Caenorhabditis elegans: one gene and its partners. The protein of the gene in region 2 interacts with the protein of the main gene of each other region in a pairwise test. Each region holds a gene or a part of one and is shown on either strand. Other genes may lie near its edges.

Region 1 (5,971 bases), on a different chromosome or scaffold from region 2:
TTCTATAATTATTTAAATGATTGGAATTCAGTACGATAAAAACTAGAAACAATGAAATCCGATAAGATTTAGATTTAAATATGCTTAAACTGAAAACAATTTGATCTCTTTTAAACTTAGAAATTGATTATTTACCTTAGATTTGTCAGTACATATATCATGAAAACGAGAGTTTTCAAATAAATTGCTATACTTTAATTTCAAATCAACAAACGTTTCTAATGATTTTAAATGTTGAAGAACATGACGTAAATTTCAATTTTGGCTCATTTCGGAGAAGTATGGGCGATGATAGTTGATTTTTAACAGTTTATATTAACAAAATGTGTAATGCAAACCGATTTTTACAAAAATTAAGGTCGGGAATTCATTAAATAAAAATTTAAAGTAAATTTTAAACAAAACGTGCAAAAATTAAAAAAAATAAGACGCAAAAAATAAAATACGAGCAGCGTCAGAACGGAGTATTGTAGTTTTTTATGTCTGTGTCTCTTCGTCTTGCGTTGTGTTTCGCAGATAGGTCACTGTACTTTTTGAATAATTTAAGTAAATAGTGCTAAAAGTGTTCATTATTTACAGAAACTAAATCTAATCAACAAAACAGATAAAAATTAGTATCCAGGAGCAGTTCGTGGAGGTGGGCAGTGTGAACATTCTCCCTTTGCTCCCAAAGGTCCTTGTGCTCCAGGTTCTCCATCAGCTCCAGGTCCTCCTGGTGCTCCATCAAATCCTTGGTCTCCAGGTGGTCCTGCTGGTCCCTTGTTTCCTGGTCTACCATCATTTCCACGTGGTCCTTGCGATCCAGTAGCTCCAGGAGCACCACGAAGACCTGGTGGACCTGCTTGGCCTGGAATTTCGTTAACTGTTCCGGGCATTCCATCGTCTCCACGTCTTCCAGGTCGTCCATCTTCTCCATTTGGTCCACGTTCTCCCTGCTCTCCTGGTCTCCCGCATCTTCCATTTCTACCAGGCATACCATCCATTCCAGGTCGCCCAGAATTACCCTGAGGACCTGGATTTCCTGGTGGCCCTGGTGGTCCTGCTGGGCAATCAAGCTCAATTTGTGATCCATCAGAAGACGATTCTCCATCCAAATCTTGCCCATCTCGTCCAGGTTTTCCGGCTGGTCCATCTATTCCATCTCGTCCTGGTCGACCTGGGAAACCTGCTGGCCCAGCAAGACCAATTCCACAGCTGCAACAAGAATCGGAAGAAGATGAAGAAGAAGTGGATGCAGCGTCGTATGGAGATGGAGCTGGATGACTTCCAGAAGCTCGAGAGGGGGAAGAAGCTAATATTGAATTAGTTTCAAAAAGTCCCACAAAAGTTACAAGTTACCTCCATATCCAGCTTGTCTTTTTACTGGCCCTGAACCAACAGCCTTCGTTGATTCATACATATTTTCCAGATTCTTAGCCCCGTCAACACAAAATCCAACCTAAAAATGCAGAATAAATACCAAAATGTGAATAGAAATCACTTGCATCAGTTTGAACAGAGCTTTGAATATATTGTAGATATGTGTAAAGCCCAGGAATTAGAATAATGCACATGATTCCAGAAGCAGCACTGAAAATTTCCAGCTTGTACTATTCTGCCACGTGGAAATCGGAACATACCTGACAACAGTCGCCACGAAAGCAACTTTTCGAAGTTCATCCTCTTCAGAATTCACTAAATTCTTCTTCAAATTCATTTCTTCTTCCAATCACCTAATCATTTTCAACTGTGTTTTATATCATTCACGCTTATCACTTTACTGTTTTATTACAATCCTACAACGGATAGAACACGTTAAAAAATAAGGATAATTGATAGCAAGTCAAAGATAACATTACACATTATTAGTGGAATGGTTCAAAAAACATCTGGAAAAGGGAGGTAGATGTGATTTAGATTGAATCGTAGACTTAGGATGAGGTTTACATTGGGTAAAAACCAGTTTCGATGGAGAAATGTCACAGAAAATATTTAATGAGATAGGTGGAGAGTGGAGGAAATTTTACATTTTACACATATAAAAAACAATCAGTATTCGGTTAAATTACACAGCTTGATCATCCACATACATCAGTCGCCAACGGCTTGGATTTGAAATGTCGAGCAGGAAGAATTGATTATTGTCCCAATTATTCAACATGGGTTGATTGAACATTACACTGATCTTTGGTGAAATTCCGAAAAGAAGCATTCCGATACATTGTTGACCACAGAAGTCTTGAAGTGCCTCTTTTAAGTGTGCTTCATCACGGAGATTGATTCTCATTGGAACATAGAGATGCTCATCTGTTCCATCATTTTTAGAAAGGAAGAATTCAAAATGATGAGTCGGAGTCGTAGTAGTTCTTGGATATCTGTTCGGTTCTCCTTTCCACAGTTTTCTCAATTTTCTGGCAAGCTCGAAAGTTGGCTGGAACATCGGATCTCTTCTCAAATCATGTTCTTCATTCGTCAAATCAGTAGCTTTTCTTTTGATTGCTGGTTGTCTATATGAAGGTGAGTCGTAGTTCTCTGTTGGAATTATTAGTGGAGCAATTGTGGCGGTCTGCAATGGCTTAAAAATTATTATAGAATAAACTTTCAACACTAAGTTGACATACCAAGTTTGGAGACATATGCTGTGTGTATCTTTCAGGAGTGAATTGTTCGTTTTTCACCATATTTGACATCTCCGTTTTAATATTATTTAAAAATGGCATCTGCGCAAGGAGCATTGAATGAGACGTCATTGGAGCAGTGGCCGAAGTTGACTGGAGAAAAGACGCGACCCCAGAAGATGTGGGTATTGAGCCATTCTGCATTGCTTGCGCATAAGCTGCTCGAGCCGCCACAATTGATGATGCACTTTGTTGCTTCTGTTGTTCTTCTTCTTGCTGTTGAACGAGCCTCTTTGCAGCTGCTTCTCTATCCGCAACTTGCTTTCGGATCTTTCTTCGTTGATTTGGATCAGCAACATTTCCAACTATGTAGACACGATTTCTTTCGATATTCGTTGGGTCCAATCCATAAAGTCTAACTTCTTCATCTATTGGTGCACTGTGATTGTGCTCATGGATAAACGTGAGGATCTTTTCAGTAACAATATCCGTATGCATTCGTGCTTTACAAGTGTTCTTGTATTCACATCTCCAGAAATATTTCTTTTGACATGATGAAAGCTTGTCAAATGTCATGAAAAATCCGTTTGAAAACACTTTCAGACGAGTTTTCTTTGGGATATCAGTACGTGGAGAACCTGCATCTCTTTTAGCAACCGCAGTGGATCCATTGGCGAGAGCGGCGGTCAATAATTTTGACATGGTGAGGCCTGCGTTGTCTCCGAATCCACCGGCACTGGCACTGGCAAGAAGTGCCTGTAAAACAGCGTTGTTCTGAAATAACAATCAAATGAAATAACATCTTGGATAGAGGAAACTTACTTTAATAACGCTAGACATATCAATTCCGCTCGCGAGCAACTGGTTAACAGGAGCAGATGTAGATGCTTGGGACACAATCTCCATTGGTACAGCTGTGACAGAAGTCGATGGTTCGGAAGTTTCGGCTTCTCCATCATCGGATCTAACTTCAGGAGCATCCGCAAGACTTGGAGCATTAAGAGAAGACGACGACGGAGGGGATGGAGAAGATATGTTGGAGTTCATTCTGAAATTAATAAATTATTCTAAGTTACATGGAAGATAAGACCAATTGAGTGATGAGGTTAAAATAGGAAGTAAAAAACTATGCAGCCAGACGGTAGACCAAAATCCTATTGGAATGACATATTTGTAACATTAGCAGCGTTCGGGGGTCTAAGTCTCTCAACCCAACGGGGAAAGGGCGGGACATTATGGTCCCTTCTTCTGCGTCTCTCTGATTCATTTGTTGTCTCTTCTAATGACGTGCGCGGTCAGCCGCTCGCGGACCGCGTACGCGCACTCTTGGGTCCGTTCCACTGTTTACACCAAAGAGGTCCTTCGTGGGAGGGCAATCGCAGCAAACGGGAGCAAAAAAAGACGACGGCATGGAGGCAGCGGGGACAGATGGTGACGTTGGATTACAGTAGATAGGGCGATGTTGGGAGGGGAGAGAAGAACGCTAGACGTGAGAAAAGGGAGACATGTAGGATTAACAATAGAGGCAAGCGTTTTTTTATGATTGAGCAGGAGCCTTACGATTCTGGCGAATACATCCTCCGATATTAGATAATTGGAAGACGCCGTCCTGAAAATAAATTTAGATTTTATAAAAATTTCGAATAAAATAGATTAAGATGGCAACGTGTGTAAAAAAACAAATACTGCCTGTAAAATACAAAAGCGAAAAAAAAAACGATTTTTAAACAAATGTCTCATAGTTGAGAATATTTTGATTTATTTTTGGTTTTATTTTTAGATTTGGCAAAAATAATTTAAAATAATCCAAAAGGAACTTCTGTTTATTTAGGTTGGTTTTTTAAGCATTTGAGAGATTATAAGAATAACTTTCGGTTTTCTTATAATTGGAAATTGAAAATTACTATTTTAACGATTTAATATGAAAAGAAATTGCGAGAAACACAGATCTGTCCAGAGAAAAAACAAATGAAACGAAAAATGATGAACAGTTATGCGCGTGGACTACTGTCACTCATTGACGTTTTTTGTGCAATAACGGCTACGATAAATTGCGTATCACTGGAAACTTATTTGAACAGGCCTAAAAAACAAAATAGAATATTGCATGTTGCTTTGGTGGTCCACGAGGTTGTGAAAATGGAAAATGAAATATCAATAAGTCACCATATATATTTTTTACATAGTTGCAGCAGTTTCAAATAGGAATTCATCTCTAATGGGATGATGCAAGTGAATTTTTCTACATTTCTCAACAATTTATTTGCAATGCAAGTAAGCAGCGAAATGACGCGAAATTCGCAATTTTTTTACATTTATTTACATTTCTCTACATTTCTCGACGTGGGAAAAAACACTCATTTTTCGTCAAAACCACGTCTTTAGTTCATGACTTTACCTTCCCAGACGTTCACGTTTGTGAAAAGTAGTGTAAAATGGGAAAAATAAAAATAATTTGAGAATTTTAAAAGATAGATGCGTGGTCATTCAACGTGGTTTTGAATTCTAAAATTTAAAAATGATCAAGTTTGATTTTTCAAATTTGGCTGTTTTGCAACACCACGTTGAATGGCCACGCATCTATCTTTTAAAATTCTCAAATTATTTTTATTTTTCCCATTTTACACTACTTTTAACAAACGTGAACGTCTGGGAAGGTAAAGTCGTGAACTAAAGACGTGGTTTTGACGAAAAATGAGTGTTTTTTTCAAATGTCGAGAAATGTAGAGAAATGTAAAAAAAATGGCGAATTTTGCGTCATTATGCTGCTTACTTGCATTGCAAATAAATTGTCGAGAAATGTAGAAAAATTCACTTGCATCATCCCATAAAAAGCATTTTACTAGCACATATGAAGAAAATAACATTACAATATTATTTGAAAATTCAGAAACGATCATAATCTCTTCCTCTTCTAGCCCGTACGTGGTTTGGCTTTGGTTCTTTATCAAAAAAGGGATGCAGCCTTTTCGGCTCACAGTTAACAATTTGGTGTAAAATCCACTTGTTGCTTAAAGTATGCAGCCGAAAATATTCAACAGAATCAAATCTATCAAACATTTTTTGAAAATTAACTTTTGTTTATGGGGTGCTGAGATGTATACAAAATTTCGATCTGAAGAAGAGAAGAAATGCATTTTAAAAGACCTCAGAAGTCATGGGAACATTAATATTGTGTGGAAGAGAGCTTCATCAACCGATGTGAGTGCCACCAAACAAACGAATTCTTTTCTTGGAACATGATATATTTGTGGGAGTCTTATTCGTTCTTCTACTGTATTTCTCGATGGTTTTATGGTGTTCATCCAACTCTGAGCAAAACCAAATCCCATTGTAATATTATCTTGTGCTCGCTGTGACCAGTGCTCTGGAAT
Region 2 (6,441 bases):
TTCGATTTTCTGGTATTACGTAGACGTCTAAAGATGAGAATTTTCGCCATATCTTACGCGCATTTTCGCCAGATCTTACGCGCATACTGATACTCCAGACTGGCAGCTATTGCACTATCCTTTTAGGAAAAAAAATATGCTGCCACAATTTTTTACTTCTATTACGGGAACACAAAACTCAGGGAATGCGTACATTTGACGCGCAAAATATCTTGTAGCGAAAACTACAGTAATTCTTTGAATGACTACTGTAGCGCTTGTGTCGATTTACGGGCTTGATTGTCTAAATGAATTTTTTTACAAATATTTAATGTCAGAGATATTCCATTTTCCTTCGTTTCTTCGTATTATTTTCTCATTTTTGCTTGATTTTAATTTATTCCGAAAATCGAGTCCGTAAATCGACACAAGCGCTACAGTAGTAATTTAAAAAATTACTGTAGTTTTCGCTACGAGATATTTTGCGCGTCAAATATGTTGCGCAATACGCAATTTTTTAGTTTTTAAAATTTTTATAGTTTTTACAAATTCCCTGAAATTTTTCAGAGAATCATTCTTCGGCGCCAGTGACATATCAGAGGAGAAGGAGCAAGCACAGTTCGGTGAAGCCTCATTTGCGCCCAAATATCCATTTTATACCGATTAATATTTTATCATTTTGTCTCGAGTGTTACTTTCGCTTGGAGGGGATAATCAATAAATTCCATGCTTTTTCAAATTTTGTTGCACTTTCGATTCAGATTTTTTTTAAAAAACAAGTTTAAAAAACATATTTTCTGATTCCCTAATTCACTATCACAAACAATTCCCTAAAAAGCCTTATCACCTGAACCCCGTGGTGAGGTCTGCGTCTTCTCAGAGCACACAATGTCTTGTCGGTTTGCGTCAATTGGTGACGGTCATACGGTTTTTGGTGCTTGTTGTTTTGCATTTTTATCTATAAATAGGGTGTGAGGAGATAAGTTTCATTCAACTTTTTAAAGTTTTCGTGAGTGAGCTTCAATGCCTGCCTGCCTGCCTATAGTCTGATTTCTGTGATGATTAAGTGTCCGGTGTTTGCATAGATTTACGCGTTTCTAATTTTACTTTCTAATTACATGTATTTTGACAGTAGACACGAGGCAGGCAAGCATTTTCATGCCTACACTGAGAGACCTACTTTTTCATACTGTTTTCAACTTGGAAAGTTCTTCGGGGTTTTAAATGCTAAAACTTAATTCGTGTCGTTTTTCAGAATGAAATTCCTTCTCGCAGTTTTTCTGCTAGCCGTATGTAGCCTCGGAGAGTCGAAAAAACCAAAGTGAGCCAGTTTATTGGTTGATTTTTCCATCTTTATCGATTTTTCAGGGCACAGAAGGTTATCTACGTGCAGAAGGTGGTGCCGCCCCAGAAGCAGGTAGGATTTGAATTTTTAGCCAAAAACTTGGATATATTGAAGCTCTCCGAATACGACCTCTGCAAGGAGCAATGCCGAATCGAAAGCGAGACGCAATCCAACAAAGAACGCGTCGAGCTTTTGAAACAGGAGATCGACCGAGCTGAGCAGTTGCTCGCCGAGCACAATAAACACGTGGATGCTCCGGAAATCGCACCCGAAACGTACATGGAAGCTGGTCAGGTTCCGCCAATGCGTAAGGCTAGCCGTTACGATCATTTGAAAATGGCAGCCAACAAAATTGTCGAGTCGACGAGTGAGCTGAAAAATGCGGTGACAGGTGGAGGGGATAATTGAATTGTTTTTGAATTGTAATTGTGTAAATTTTTGAATTTTATAAATAAAAATCTGGGTTTCATAGAGATCATTGGCAGGATTGATTAGATAAAGTAGAAAATGGCATAAAAAAAACAAAATTAAAAAGTTATGAGTCAAAATCATCGTCTGGAGCTCTTCGCTTGAGCATATTCTGTACATGCTCCGGCCGTAGCACTTGTGTTGGTGGTTCGATGATATGTGGCTGATGGGTGACTTGTTGCATTTCCATTCTGAAAACTTGAAAATTTTGAATTTGATATGTATAATTTCATTTTACTACAGAAAAAAAAAACGCATGCCATAAAGATTTAAAAACAATAACTAAATGGAATATTGTCGGAAAATATGTGACTTTTAGTTTTGTGTCAAGGTTTTGTATTTTTGATTCGAAAAAACAATTTTTGAGATGAAAATGCAAATTTGAATCAATATTTTTCAAATGAAACTGACAGTAGCCACAAAAAGCATTGAAAATCGACAAGTTTAAATATAGAATTTCTGTAAATTTTTAGAATGAAAATTTCGGAAAAAATTTATATTTCGGCTCAAAAAGCGGTGAAAACTTAGTTTTTAACAAATGTTTTTGGAAGTTATCGATTAAAAAAAACTTATTCCATGTCTTATGCATTCATATTTAATTATTTTGGGGGCACGAAAATGCGAAAGTGTTTTCGATTTCTCGAAAGGTGGCTCCAAACAACACCTTTTTTTACTTGAAACAAAAAATCTTCTATAAATTTGGTACTTTTCCTTTTCTACCCCGCATTTTTCTGGAACATTTTCTTGGATAAAAATGTGAACTTTTTCTGTAATTTTGTTTTCTAATGGGGTTATTCAAGTAGTGTCGGAAAATTAAAAAGTGTAGATTAATTACGTCACAACTGTATTCAAGTATATAAAAACATGTATTTAAATACATTTGTGACGTCACAAATGTATTTAAATACATTTTGCTACATTACTTGAATAACCCCATAAGCCTGAAAATGATTCACGTGAGAATTAAATTTGAATAATTCAATGTTTTGAATATTCATTTAAAAATGCGGTGTAAAAAAGGAAAAGTATCATAATTTTTTTAAAAGTTCTATTGTGAGTTTTTATTGTTATTTTGTCATTTTTGAACCATAGGAATGGTTTTTAATAGTTTCCCCACTGGTCGTACTCCACTTTAAAATACCTTCTTTCCGTTTAAAATCAAATTTTTACAGATTTTTCAAGATATATCGAGAAAAAAAACGTACGGCTGATAACTGTCGTCAGCTTTGTACACAAAATTCTGCTGTAATTGACAGAATCGATCGTTGGGCAGCTTCAGGCCATAATTGTGTCGAATTTGCGGTAGGGGCTGCTGATTTTTGTCATTCGCCAATTGCAGAATCTTCTCACGGTCCGGAGCGTTTGTGGTCAGAACGCCGAGCATGTCGGCCGCCGTTTGAACGTCTTCTGCCTCGATTTGCGCTTTTTCAGCATGCCTGGACAGTCCACTTGACATTTGGAGGATTTTTGACGTCACTGCGTATTGAACCTGGAAAAAATCATTATTTTTTGAATTTTTAGAGCTCAATTTTGTATTTTCTCACATCCATAAGCATTGAAACGACGCGTGGATCAAACTCTTGAATTCCACACTCGTGGAGCATGCTTATTACAGCAAGCGCCTCTTTACTGTGTCCATCGGTACCACTTGCCGTCGTTTCTGTGTCTTTTTCTCCTGTATCTGCCATTTTTCTTTCTGAAAATGCAATTATATGGATTTCCCCACAAAAATAACGGAGAGGAAATACAGAAATATCATGTGAGATGTAACACGAAATACAAAAATTATGAAATTAGAATTAAAATTTAGAAAAATTCATCTTAAAACACGGAGGATACAAAGTTGTTCACTGAATCGTTGCAAGTTTTTTTTGGTGAACTGGGAGAGAGCGAATAAGAAATAGAATTAACGGATGCAAAAAAGTCGATAAATAAATAGATTGTGTGGAAAATGCCGAGGAAATTAATGGAAATGATATATTTACATCAGCTGAATTCGATTATTTTTTAGGAGTTCATGACAGCGCGTACGAAATCCGAGATATTGACGTTTCCGTGAGAATCGTTGTGTCCGGAGAGCAATTGATCGACGTCTTCATCGGATAGGCGTTCTCCTTGAAAAAAAATTGATAAAATTGGGGTAAACTTTAAAATTGTATAGACCAGCAGAACATTTTTGAAAAGCTACTTATATATTAATTTTTTGATAATATTCACTCAAAATCCTACCAAGAGTGGTGAGCAAGTGTCGGAGCTCTGCGACATTGATCATTCCGTTTCCCTCCTTGTCGAAATGCGACAACCCCTCGACGAACTCCTCAACGGTGTGCTTTTCACTGAAATTATGTAGAAATTGAAATTTATTAACTGAAAATTCGCCACGAACCGATTCTTGGACACCGACTGGAAAATTGGGACAAAGTCCTCGAATGAAAGCCGAGCTTCCCGATCGAACGAGCCGACACATTTGTGAATTTCGGCTTCTGTTGGGTTCTGGCCGAGCGCGCGGAGCACATCACCGACCTGAAATATGAATTTTGGATTAAAAAAGTAAAATATTGAATTAAAAACCTGCTGAACAGAGATTCGCTCGTCGCCTTTGCTGTCAAAATAGGCGAAAACCTCACGACAATCAGCCAAATCGTCCATTTCTCACAGCTGAAATTGGAAAATTGAGAAGACGGGATGAAAACGAAAATCGATTATCAGTGAGTGAGAAGTTGGCGATAAAAGAGAGAATGAGTCACGGGGACGAAACAATTCGGGAGGAAAATGGGTGGGCGGTAGAAGATTTTCGAAGAGAGCTGAAAACATTTCATGCCTTCCAGAAATTCTCAAGCAAAAATTCAGCCTTTCTCGGCTATTTCCCGAGAAAAACGAGTTTCACAACACATTATTCACCGCACATGAACTGAAATGGCGATCGATTGGCGAGTTTATTTGAATAGTAGACACACACAGCAGAAGAGACGACCAAAACGGGCAGTTTCCCCGCGCGGCGGTGTCCTGACTGTCCGTTCAACCGCGTGAGAGTGTGTGGAGATGGTGGAGACGCGAGGAAGAACAACATCCCGAATTCTTGTTGTTCGGAACTTTTTCTCACCGATTCATCGACAAGATACCAATAGTTTGGAGGTTATCCGGCGGGAAAAAGAGGGTTAACAGAGGGCAATTAGAATTAAAATTCGAATTTTCGAGTTGCGGCATGAGCATAGAGCACAGAGAAGCAAAGAGCGCCCAAGTTGCCACGGAAACCATGCACATTACGTGCTGAATACAATTCCTGCGAAATTTTACAGAAAAATCTATTTTTCTGCAGAATTTCAAGGATAATTATCGATAAGCCAAAAAATTGATATAAAACAAAAAATTTTCGGGCGCCAATTTCAAATGCCATGGCGCAATGCACAACGGGCGCTAGATCCCACGCGCAAATGCACAGAATATGCCTGTTTTGAAATTTATTTTTCTCGAGAATTTCTAGAATTTTCGATAATTCAAAGGAGTTTTTTGGTTTAAAAGGCGTTATTCTAATTTTTTGATCTAAATTATCAGGTATTTATCTATTTTTCACTTTAAATCCCCTCTTTGCGTAGTCGGAACACCTCTGGCGGCATCACGTGCTGTTTGCAATATTGTTTACACTTCCAAACAAATTGAATAAACACTTCAATTCTCTATTTTTTGATTCTTAACCTATTCCTTTAAATGATTTAAAATAAACTCCAAAGCTTTTACCTTCCAGAAAATGGACCACGTCGCATTGCTCAAGCAATTCGTTGGCATGTGCCAAGCGAACCCGGCGGTTTTGCACGCCCCGGAATTTGGATTTTTTAAGGATTACCTTGTTTCGTAAGTTTTCTAGTACAAATTCAGCTCAAACATGTGCCACATTTTCAGCCTTGGAGCCACTCTTCCCCCAAAACCAGCTGACAAGCCAGAAGGAAAGTGCCCGATGTCTGAGGAGCCAAAGAAGGAAACTCCAGCCGCCGAGGCAACTCCAGAGCCAGAAATCCCGAAGCCGGAGGAGATTCCATTCCCGAAAATTGACAACGAGGGAGTCATCGAGCCAGAAGAGGCGGTGGCTTTGCCAATGGGAGACTCTGCCAAAGAAGCCACCGAGGATGAGATCGAAAAGGCCTCCGAGGAGAGAGGAAAAGCCCAAGAGGCGTTTTCCAACGGCGATTTCGACACAGCCCTCACTCACTTCACCGCCGCAATTGAGGCTAATCCAGGATCTGCAATGCTTCACGCCAAGAGAGCCAAGTGAGGATTTTCTTTTCAAAACCTGAATAATCGCATTTTTCAGCGTCCTTCTTAAGCTCAAACGTCCGGTCGCAGCGATTGCTGATTGTGACAAAGCGATCTCTATCAACCCAGACTCGGCACAAGGCTACAAATTCCGCGGTCGTGCCAATCGTCTTCTCGGCAAGTGGGTCGAGGCAAAGACCGACCTCGCCACAGCTTGCAAACTGGATTACGATGAAGCCGCCAACGAGTGGCTCAAGGAGGTCGAGCCGAATGTAAGAATTGCATTTGAAAATTTTATTTCAGAGAAAAAAGAAAGTCTAAACGTCATTATTGTCTGAATAGTTACAAGAATTGACGGGAAAATGACATATGACCGATAAAATGGCTCAGCCGGGTGT
Region 3 (9,238 bases), 1.8 Mb from region 2:
TCCGATAAAAAATTTAGAAAATCACTGATATTTTTCAAAAATCGATAAAAAATTCGAAAAAAAAAATTTCTTAAATTTTTATTGGTTTTTCACATTTTTCGCATTTTTTCTCATAATTTTCAAAGATTCAAATCATTAAAAAAGTTAGAAAAAAAAAACTCACATATAAATTTGCTCTTTGCTCTTCACTTTAATCGCATTCTCGGCCGATTTTCTGTCTGAAATTTGGATTTTTTCAAGAATTTTTCAAAAAAAAATTCTAATTTCTCACGAAATTTACCAAATCTGAAGTGTTGGAGGTATTACTCAAGGACTTGAAACCTTTTAAAAACCAAAAAAATGAAGAAAAAAAATTTGTCATAAAAAGAGGAAATTCATCGTGGAAGACCCGGAGAAAAGGAGGTTTTTGAATGGAAAATTAAAATTAAAACAAAAAAAAATTAATTTTTAAAGTTTCTTGATTTGTTTCTTGAGTAGAGCAACCCGTTGCTTGTGTGCTTCCGTTGGAACAAACTTTTCCTTCGATAAATCAATAACTTCCGTTTGAGACCCAAAATTGTGCGAAGCAGCGCGTGGAACCTGAAATTTAACAATTTTTTCTGATTTTTTAGATTAAAAATCGAGCCAAAACACCTAATTTTAGCTGAAAAACTCGAATTTTGTCTCACATTTTTTGCACATTTTTTGAACATTTTTTGTACATTTTTTGCACATTTTTTGAACATTTTTTGCACATTTTTTGAACATTTTTTGAACATTTTTTGTACATTTTTTGCACATTTTTTGAACATTTTTTGCACATTTTTTGCACATTTTTTGCGCATTTTTTGCACATTTTTTGCACATTTTTTTGCATATTTATTGCACATTTTTGCACAGTTATTGCACATTTTTGCACATTTTTTTGCATATTTTTGATAAATCCATATATCCTAACACTTTTTTTTTCTTCTTTTTCCGATTTTACAAGGTTTTTCGGAGAAAAAAAAATTTCTAATGAATATTTCAATATTTTCTAGACATTTTTTCTCTGAAAAACACTAAAAATCGAAAAAAAAACCCGATTTTCTGTATTTTTCAGGTAAAATTTTTAATACTGGAGAATCGAAAAACGGTAAAAAAGTAGATATTTCAGCTAAAATTAAGCGTTTTTTTTTTACGAAATCCGGTTTTTTAAAGCTATTTTGTGATGAAAATTTTTATCAACAAAAAAAAGAAGATTTTTTTTCCAAAAAAATAGTCAAAAATTAGAGATTTTAGCTAAAACTAGGCGTTTTTTTCTAATTTTTTTTTCACGAAATCCGTATTTTCTAGACCATTTTAAATATCAAAAAAAAACATAAAAATCAGTAATAAAAACGCCGTACCACTGGCATATTATAGACATTCTTGAGAATAAATTCGATATCCCGTGATTCAATTTTCTTCACCTCCCGATTCTTGATCATTTTGCATGCTTTATCGATTAGAGAACTGACAAAATCGTCGGCGTACTCCACAAGAACATCTTTTACATTTTCTTCGAGTACTGTTGTTGAGCTGATTTGTTGCATCAAATCATCCAGTTTTGACTGAAAAAAAAATTTTAAAAAAAAGAAGATTTTTTAAAATAAGAATTTTCGGTTTTTTCAGTGAAAATCAAAAAATCGGAAAAAAAAATTTTATAGAGTTTTTGAAAAAAAAAAACTACGAAAATTTTAGGCTATTTTTTTTTTTTTTTTTATTAATTGTTATAATTTTCGATTTTTTTGTTTGAAAATCTTGAAAATCGAAAATTTAAAATTTTTTAATTAGAAAATTAAACAAAAACTCTTAATTTTACAAGAATTTTTACAAGAAAAATTACCAAAAATTTAGGCATTTTTTTCAGTGAAAATTTAAAAATCGAATTTTTAATAGCAAATTTACAAAAAATTCCATTTTTAATTTCATTATTTTTTCAGGAGCAAAGCAAAAACTAGTGTATGCAGAAGTTCGAATTTTTTTCAAAGTTCAAAAAAAAATTTAAAAATTGTATTGAAAAATTGGAAATTTTCGTTTTTCGTTTAAAAAAAATCGAATTTTCAATAAATTCCGGCCATTTTTCAATACTTTATAGAAAAAAAAAATCACTTTTTTCAATAAAAATCAGCATATTTTTTGATAAATCTATAGCTTTTTCGTCCCCTTCCGTGAATTCTTTGTGCATTTTTTTTCCTATTTTCTCTGAAAAAAAAGACCGAAAAATCTGAAATTTGCTCATTTTCTATGAAAAGACAATCCAAAAAATTTTTTTTTTGCGAATTTTTGCTAGAGAAATTTGTAATTGAAAAAAAAACTAAAAAATCAGAAAATTTTTTAAATTTTCCTGAAAAAACCTGAATTTTTTTCGATTTTCTTTGAAAAAAAATCGGAAAATCTGAGCTTTATTCGATTTTTTCTGAAAAAATTTCAAAATTAAATAAAAATCAATTTTCCAAGTATTTTTGCCGGTTTTTTTGCCGAAATTTCCAAGTATTTTTGCCGGTTTTTTTGCCTAAATTTCCAAGTATTTTTGCCGGCTTTTTTGCCGAAATTTCCAAGTATTTTTGCCGATTTTTTTGCCGGAATTTCCAAGTATTTTTGCCGGTTTTTTTGCCGAAATTTCCAAGTATTTTTGCCGGTTTTTTTGCCTAAATTTCCAAGTATTTTTGCCGGTTTTTTTGCCGAAATTTCCAAGTATTTTTGCCGGTTTTTTTGCCGAAATTTCCAAGTATTTTTGCCGGTTTTTTTGCCTAAATTTCCAAGTATTTTTGCCGGTTTTTTTGCCGAAATTTCCAAGTATTTTTGCCGGTTTTTTTGCCTAAATTTCCAAGTATTTTTGCCGAAATTTTCAAGTATTTTTGCCGGTTTTTTTGCCGAAATTTCTAAGTATTTTTGCCGGTTTTTTGTTGCACCTTTTCCATAATACTTCCATACGGAACAGCGGCCGGTATCATTTGAGGTGGCGGTGCCTGTTGCTGTTGTGGCTGTGGAATTGGAGGCTGTTGAATTTGTTGAGATGGTGGTGGCTGCTGATGTTGCTGCTGATGTTGTACTTGCATAATTTGTTGAGGAGGCAGCGGCATTGGAGACGAGTTTGGCTGGAAATTTTGAAAAATTTTGCCCAAAACTAATGGTTTTTATAGTTTTTCCATTAAATCGGGCTCTTTTTGAGCTCCAAAAAATATTACGCCACGACAAATTTGGCGAATTTGCCGGTTTTTTACGAGCTCGATCGGTAAACGTTGCCTTTTTAGTTCCGGCAATTTGCCGATATGCCGGAAATTTTAATTCCGGCAATTTGCGGGAAAATTGAATTCCGACATTTTGCCGATTTTGTCGGAAATTTCAATTCCGGCAATTTGCCGATTTGCCGGAAATTTTAATTTCAGCAAATTGTCGATTTTGTCGGAAATTTCAATTCCGGCAATTTGCCGATTTTGTCGGAAATTTCAATTCCGGAAATTTGCCGATTTGCCGGAAATTTTAATTCCGGCAATTTACCGGTTTTGCCGGAAATTTCAATTCCGGCAATTTGCCGATTTGCCGGAAATTTCAATTCCGGCAATTTGCCGATTTTGCCGGAAACTCACCACAAATTGTGGTGGTCCACCACCTCCTTGCTGCTGCATCATATGTTGTGGCGGAGGCCCTCCGACCATTCCCATTAAATGTCCAGATGGTCCTGGCTGGAAACATTTTAAAATTAGAGGATTTTTAAGCGGATTTCCAAAAATAACTGCAGAAAAAGTCTTAAAAATGCCCAAAATATGCGAAAAAAAAATTTTTTTTTTGAAGAAATTATACAAGCCTTGAAATTTTCACCGCTGCTCCGCTGCTCCACTGCAGAAATTGTTTTGTAACATTTTTTAGAACAATTTTTCAGAGATTTTTGATCCCGTGGACCCAAATTCCCGAAAAAAGGTTTTTCTTGGGTCTCAAACGGAAGCTTTTTTTAAATTCAAATTTCCCAGATAATAACCGCCCCCGTACCCCTTGAGCCATGCCCATCTGCATTGGTCTCTGTTGCATTTGCATTGATTGCCCATTCGGTGTGAATTGTTGGGGCTGCTGCTGTTGTGGAATACCCATTTGTTGAAAGTGTTGCTGCTGCTGCTGCTGTGGTGGTGGAGGGCCCGCACGCATTTGTGGTGATGGGTATGGCATTTGGCGGACTAAAATTACGAATTATTTCATGAGAAGCCTTATTAAAGAGACGGTGTAGTCACCGAAAATATGAAGATTTTCGCTAGAATTAGGCGATTTTCGGAAATTCAGCATAATTGGAACATCGTCCAATCAGCGTACCGCTCCGCCCACTTCTGGACCAATCAGACGGAGTGGGCGGGGTTTGAAGATGCTGATTGGTAGGAAAATACTCGAAAATTGGTAAATTAAATATTTTAAAAAAGCGATTTTTAAAATGGAATTCTTTGAATTTTTTAAAAGCGATATCTACATTTACCCAAAGCCGCCTTAAATTACACCTAAATTAACGAAAAACGTGAAATAAATATGCAAATTAGGATGAAAATTGAATAAAAATCAATTTCTAGCCACCCTGGCACCGAAAAAATGGAGATTTTAGGCGATTTTCGGAATGTCTGGTAGATCATGGTGTGATCTGCAAAAAATGCGGGAATTTTTGGCCCAAAAAATGTGACGTCAGCACGTTCTTAACCATGCAAAATCAGTTGAGAACTCTGCCGCATTTTTTGTAGATCAACGTAGATCAAGCCGAAATGAGACACTCTGACACAATGTGTGGTTAGGAAATTTGAAAATTCAGCAAAATTAAAACAGCGACCAATCAGCGACCGGCTCCGCCCACTTTTGGACCAATCAGACGGAGTGGGCGGAGAGCTAATTTTAGTAAAATTTGAAAATCACGATTTTTTTTCCGTTTTTTTTGTGGTTTTTCTGAATTTGAAACTATTTTTTTTGGATATTTTTAAAGGTGGTGTAGTCGAATGTTTTTATTTGCTTTATTAGACTCAAAATTGTCTGAAAACACCGAATTTCATAGTGAAACTGTTTGAAAACTTCTCAAAAAATAAGTTATGACGGTTCAAAAAATGACCTAAAATTAGTTAAAATTTGAAATTTTACCGACTAGCCAAGCGTCTGGAAACAATTTTTCGAAATCACCGTCAAATTTTAAGTATACAATTTAATTATCTTGCGTTTTCAACTTCATTTAAGTATTTTAAAGTCGATGGACGGCGAGATTTGGTTTTAAAAAATTTAAAAATCTCGTCGTCCATCGATTTTTAAATACCTTAATCAAATTTAAAACACAAGGTAATTAACTTATATACTCAAAATTTGACGGTGATTTCAAAAAAAAATGTTTCCAGCCGCTGCGACATTGATAAGTTGGTCAAATTTCAAACTTTAACTAATTTTAGGTCATTTTTTGAGCCGTCATAACTTATTTTTTGAGAAGTTTTCAAAAAGTTTCACTATGAAATTCGGTGTTTTCAGACAATTTTGAGTCTAATAAAGCAAATAAAAACATTCGACTACACCACCTTTAAAAATATCCAAAAAATAGTTTCAAATTCAGAAAAACCACAAAAAAAAACGGAAAAAAATCGTTAAAAAAATTTAAAAATCTCGCCGTCCATTGATTTTTAAATACCTAAATCAAGTTGAAAATGCAAGAAATGCACTAATTTTAGGCCATTTTTTGAGCCATCATAACTTTTTCCTGAAAAGTTTTCAAGAAGTTTCATTATTAAATTCGATGTTTTCAGACAATTTTGAGTCTAATACAGCAATAAAAAAAAAATTCAACTACACTCTCTTTAAAAATATCCAAAAATACATTAAAATTCAGAAAAACCACAAAAAAAAAAACGGAGAAAATCGCGATTACAAACTCCGCCCACTCCGTCTGATTAGTCCAAAAGTGGGCGGAGCCGGTCGCTGATTGGTCGCTGTTCCAATTTTGCTGAATTTCCGAATTTCCTAACCACACATTGTGTCAGAGTGTCTCATTTCGGCTTGATCTACGTTGATCTACAAAAAATGCGGCAGAGTTCTCAACTGATTTTGCATGGTTAAGAACATGCTGACGTCACATTTTTTTGGGCCAAAAATTCCCGCATTTTTTGTAGATCACACCATGATCTACCAGACATTCCGAAAATCGCCTAATTCTAGCGAAAATCTCCATTTTTTCGGTGCCAGGGTGGCTAGAAATTGATTTTTATTCAATTTTCATCCTAATTTGCATATTTATTTCACGTTTTTCGTTAATTTAGGTGTAATTTAAGGCGGCTTTGTGTAAATGTAGATATCGCTTTTAAAAAATTCAAAGAATTCCATTTTAAAAATCGCTTTTTTTAAATATTTAATTTACCAATTTTCGAGTATTTTCCTACCAATCAGCATCTTCAAACTCCGCCCAATCTACCTGATTGGTCGAAAAGTGGGCGGAGCGAATCGCTGATTGCTCAGGCATTTCTCATTTTGGAGGTAATTCGAAAAATCATGTTTTTCGAGTTAACTTTTTCACTTTTTCGCGATTTTTTTCTTTTTTCTTCGGAAAAAACGTAAAATAGCCGACTAAAATAGGCGGAATAGGACAAAATTGGAGATTTCAGCTAAATTTTGAGCAATTTTTTTTTCATTTTTCACGGAATTATTTCTGAATTTGAGGCATTTTTTAGGAGTTTTTTCTTCATACTTTGCTGCTGTGGCATCTGCATTCTCATCGGGCCGCCCATTCCACCCATCGGCGGTTGGCCCACAAACTGCTGCTGCTGCTGCTGTTCGTTGGGATTCTGATGGCCTTGTGGCGGAATTCCCTGCTGCATTGGCTGAAAATGTGGGTGATAGACGTGATATCCATGATGGTAGGGCCACATTTTTTAGTATTAGTAAATATATATATATATATGGACAGAGGACGACGAGAAGCTTTTGTGATGGAAATGGTTTTGTCGGGGGAAGAAGAGAAGCACAATCGATATGAGAATAATACACATACACTTTGGACGTTTACGGGGGAAAAAAAACGGAGAGGCGCTCCGATTTTTTATTATTTTTATTCGTTTTTTTTGTTTTTTTTTTGTCGGCTGGCCGGTGAGTCATTGTTGGGACAGAAAGCAATAATTAGAGAGCGGACACACAAATCGCTTACAGAATTCGTGGAGAGAGCGGCGGCGATTTGCGGGTTCGCCTGCACGATTACGTGATTATTCGGTGAAGTTGGAGGTGAGAATTCTTCCATTTTCATTTTTTATCTGCAACTAAGTTTTTTTTTGATGATTTTAAAGCTTAAAATCTTTCGGAAAACCGAGGAAAATGGAAATATATTCATAAAAATGAATAAATTCGTTAAATTCGATAAATTTTCCACAGTACCTCGGTCGTTGTGAGACCCAATGTTAAACAAAAGCATTGCGCCTTTAAAGTTATACGGTGAAACTTTTCAAGCAATTTCTATTTTTTTCCGAATTTTTAGTTGCTAATTATTATTTTTGATTAAATATTACGAGAAAAATTTTAATTTTGAAGAATTTCTTCAAATAAAGTTTAAAAAACCGAGGAAAAGTCAAAATTAATAACTGAAACTCGGTTCGCTGTGAGACCCAAACTTAAAAATAGCAATGCGCCTTTAAACTTATACGGTTGTATTTTTAGGCAATTTAAAGTGAATTTATGTTTTTTCCAGAATTATAGTTGCTAGCTATTATTAATTTTAAAACCGAGTGAAAATTTTAACTTTGAGAATTTTCTTTTAAAAAAAACCAAGGAAAAATCAAAATTAATGACTGAAACTCGGTTCGCTGTGAGACCCAAAGTTAAACAACAGCAATGCGCCTTTAAAGTGATACGGTGGCGATTTTCAAGCAATTTAAAATCAAATTGAATTTATTGGAAAAAATCAATGAAAAAGACCTAAACTAATAAATATTCAAAGTTTTATTCTCGAATTGCACATAATATTATGCGCCGAAACCTCGTAAAATTAGGCAGATTCTGATATAAGGGAAAAACGATCCGAAAAATGTAGGACATTGGGGGAATAGAGACGTAGGGGGTGGTGGCGAGAAATTGAGGCCAATGAAGAGAACGAGAGACCTCTCTAGCTCTTTTCCGTCTCTTCTCGCAACTATCTCTCTCTCTCTCTCACTAGTGTGGTTTATTAGAACCTAAATGAGCGTGGCCGTGGGAAAACCTAGGCCACGCCGTTGCGAGGAAGTGCAAGTAAACAGAAAAAAGACGACGGCGGACGTCTTATAAAAACAAACATGTCACATTTTGTTGTCCACTCTGTCATTATTTTGCGAAAGAATTGGGATCGAATTGGGAAGTACATTTTTGGGTCTCGCCGCGATTGTTTTCTTTAATTGAATATAACTGTACCATGTGATCACTGGAAATGGAAAAACATATTTTATCTAACATTGGTTGAGGAAAAGGCAATAAAAACAATTAAAATATCGAGTTATTACAGTACACCGAGGTTTAAAGGCGCATGAGGGTTTTGAAAAGTCAAAGTAAAACTGGATATTAGCGTAAAATTTTGTTCGGTCATAATCGAGTATATTCGTAAAGTTAAAAAAAAATTTGGGTGTTTGGTTTTAAAATAATGTTTTTTTGAAAATTGAGTTTTTACTAAATTTCAGCTAAAGAAAAACTTGAATTTTAGTCGAATTTTGAACGGTGGGTAATAATTTTTTGTGTTTATATTATTATTCAGACATCAGTAAGTAAATTGGTAAAGTTTGAAAAAAATTTGGGTGTTTGGTTTCGAAGAAAATAATTTTTTGAAAATTTGAATTTTTATTCATTTTCAGCTAAACTAAAACTGAAATTTCAGACAAATTTCGAACGGTGGGTATTAATTTTTTGTGTTTATATTATTATTCAAAGATCAATTAGTATATTGGTGAAGTTTTAAAAAATTTGTGTGATTGGTTTTGAATAAAATAATTTTTTTGAAAATTGGAATACATATTAATTGGGAGCTAAACTAAAACTGGAATTTCAGTCAGATTTTGAACGGTGGGTATTAATTTTTTGTGCTTATATTATTATTCAGACATCGGTTAGTATAATCGGTTAGTAGATTGGTAGTTAAAAAAAATTTGGGTGTTTGGTTTTGAAGAAAATAATTTTTTGAAATTTGTAATATGTTCATCGGCAATGGCTGGTGGCCTAGAATTTCCCAATTAGGCCATCAAATCTGAAATTAAAAAAGCACATATTCAGCTGTAAAATAATT

What was found. The genes of interacting proteins can lie anywhere in the genome.
Region 1: the proteins of taf-9 (region 2) and flh-1 interact in a two-hybrid assay, tested with the Caenorhabditis elegans proteins (one large-scale study listed by BioGRID).
Region 3: the proteins of taf-9 (region 2) and taf-12 interact in a two-hybrid assay, tested with the Caenorhabditis elegans proteins (one large-scale study listed by BioGRID).

Annotation. Positions count from the first base shown.
Region 1 is NC_003282.8:9,260,058-9,266,028, forward strand, and holds flh-1 (FLYWCH transcription factor 1), read right to left. Parts: upstream 4,207-5,971; 5' UTR 4,175-4,206; coding exon 4,158-4,174; intron 3,646-4,157; coding exon 3,420-3,645; intron 3,372-3,419; coding exon 2,601-3,371; intron 2,555-2,600; coding exon 2,045-2,554; 3' UTR 1,751-2,044; downstream 1-1,750. Other genes in the region: col-120 (Nematode cuticle collagen N-terminal domain-containing protein), read right to left, coding at 612-1,291, 1,339-1,438, 1,485-1,569, 1,620-1,696; Y11D7A.19 (NADH dehydrogenase [ubiquinone] 1 alpha subcomplex subunit 13), read right to left, coding at 5,753-5,971. UniProt on the Caenorhabditis elegans protein: Probable transcription factor. Binds to the DNA sequence motif 5'-[AG]GGCGCCG-3' in the promoters of target genes, including micro-RNA genes, in order to repress expression, and acting redundantly with flh-2.
Region 2 is NC_003281.10:13,621,323-13,627,763, reverse strand, and holds taf-9 (Transcription initiation factor TFIID subunit 9), read right to left. Parts: upstream 3,489-6,441; 5' UTR 3,481-3,488; coding exon 3,337-3,480; intron 3,282-3,336; coding exon 2,998-3,281; intron 1,984-2,997; coding exon 1,860-1,983; 3' UTR 1,757-1,859; downstream 1-1,756. Other genes in the region: arrd-17 (Arrestin domain-containing protein 17), read left to right, coding at 547-646; T12D8.5 (uncharacterized protein), read left to right, coding at 1,236-1,300, 1,348-1,396, 1,439-1,732; mlc-5 (Myosin-2 essential light chain), read right to left, coding at 3,800-3,906, 4,022-4,128, 4,179-4,315, 4,364-4,441; hip-1 (STI1 domain-containing protein), read left to right, coding at 5,541-5,644, 5,693-6,058, 6,102-6,315.
Region 3 is NC_003281.10:11,862,032-11,871,269, forward strand, and holds taf-12 (Transcription initiation factor TFIID subunit 12), read right to left. Parts: upstream 7,251-9,238; 5' UTR 7,244-7,250; coding exon 7,148-7,243; intron 6,825-7,147; coding exon 6,692-6,824; intron 4,176-6,691; coding exon 3,994-4,175; intron 3,690-3,993; coding exon 3,594-3,689; intron 3,102-3,593; coding exon 2,916-3,101; intron 1,572-2,915; coding exon 1,368-1,571; intron 580-1,367; coding exon 448-579; 3' UTR 362-447; downstream 1-361. UniProt on the Caenorhabditis elegans protein: Part of the general transcription factor complex TFIID. Plays a role in recruiting taf-4 to the nucleus and thereby activating transcription initiation by RNA polymerase II, as part of the TFIID complex.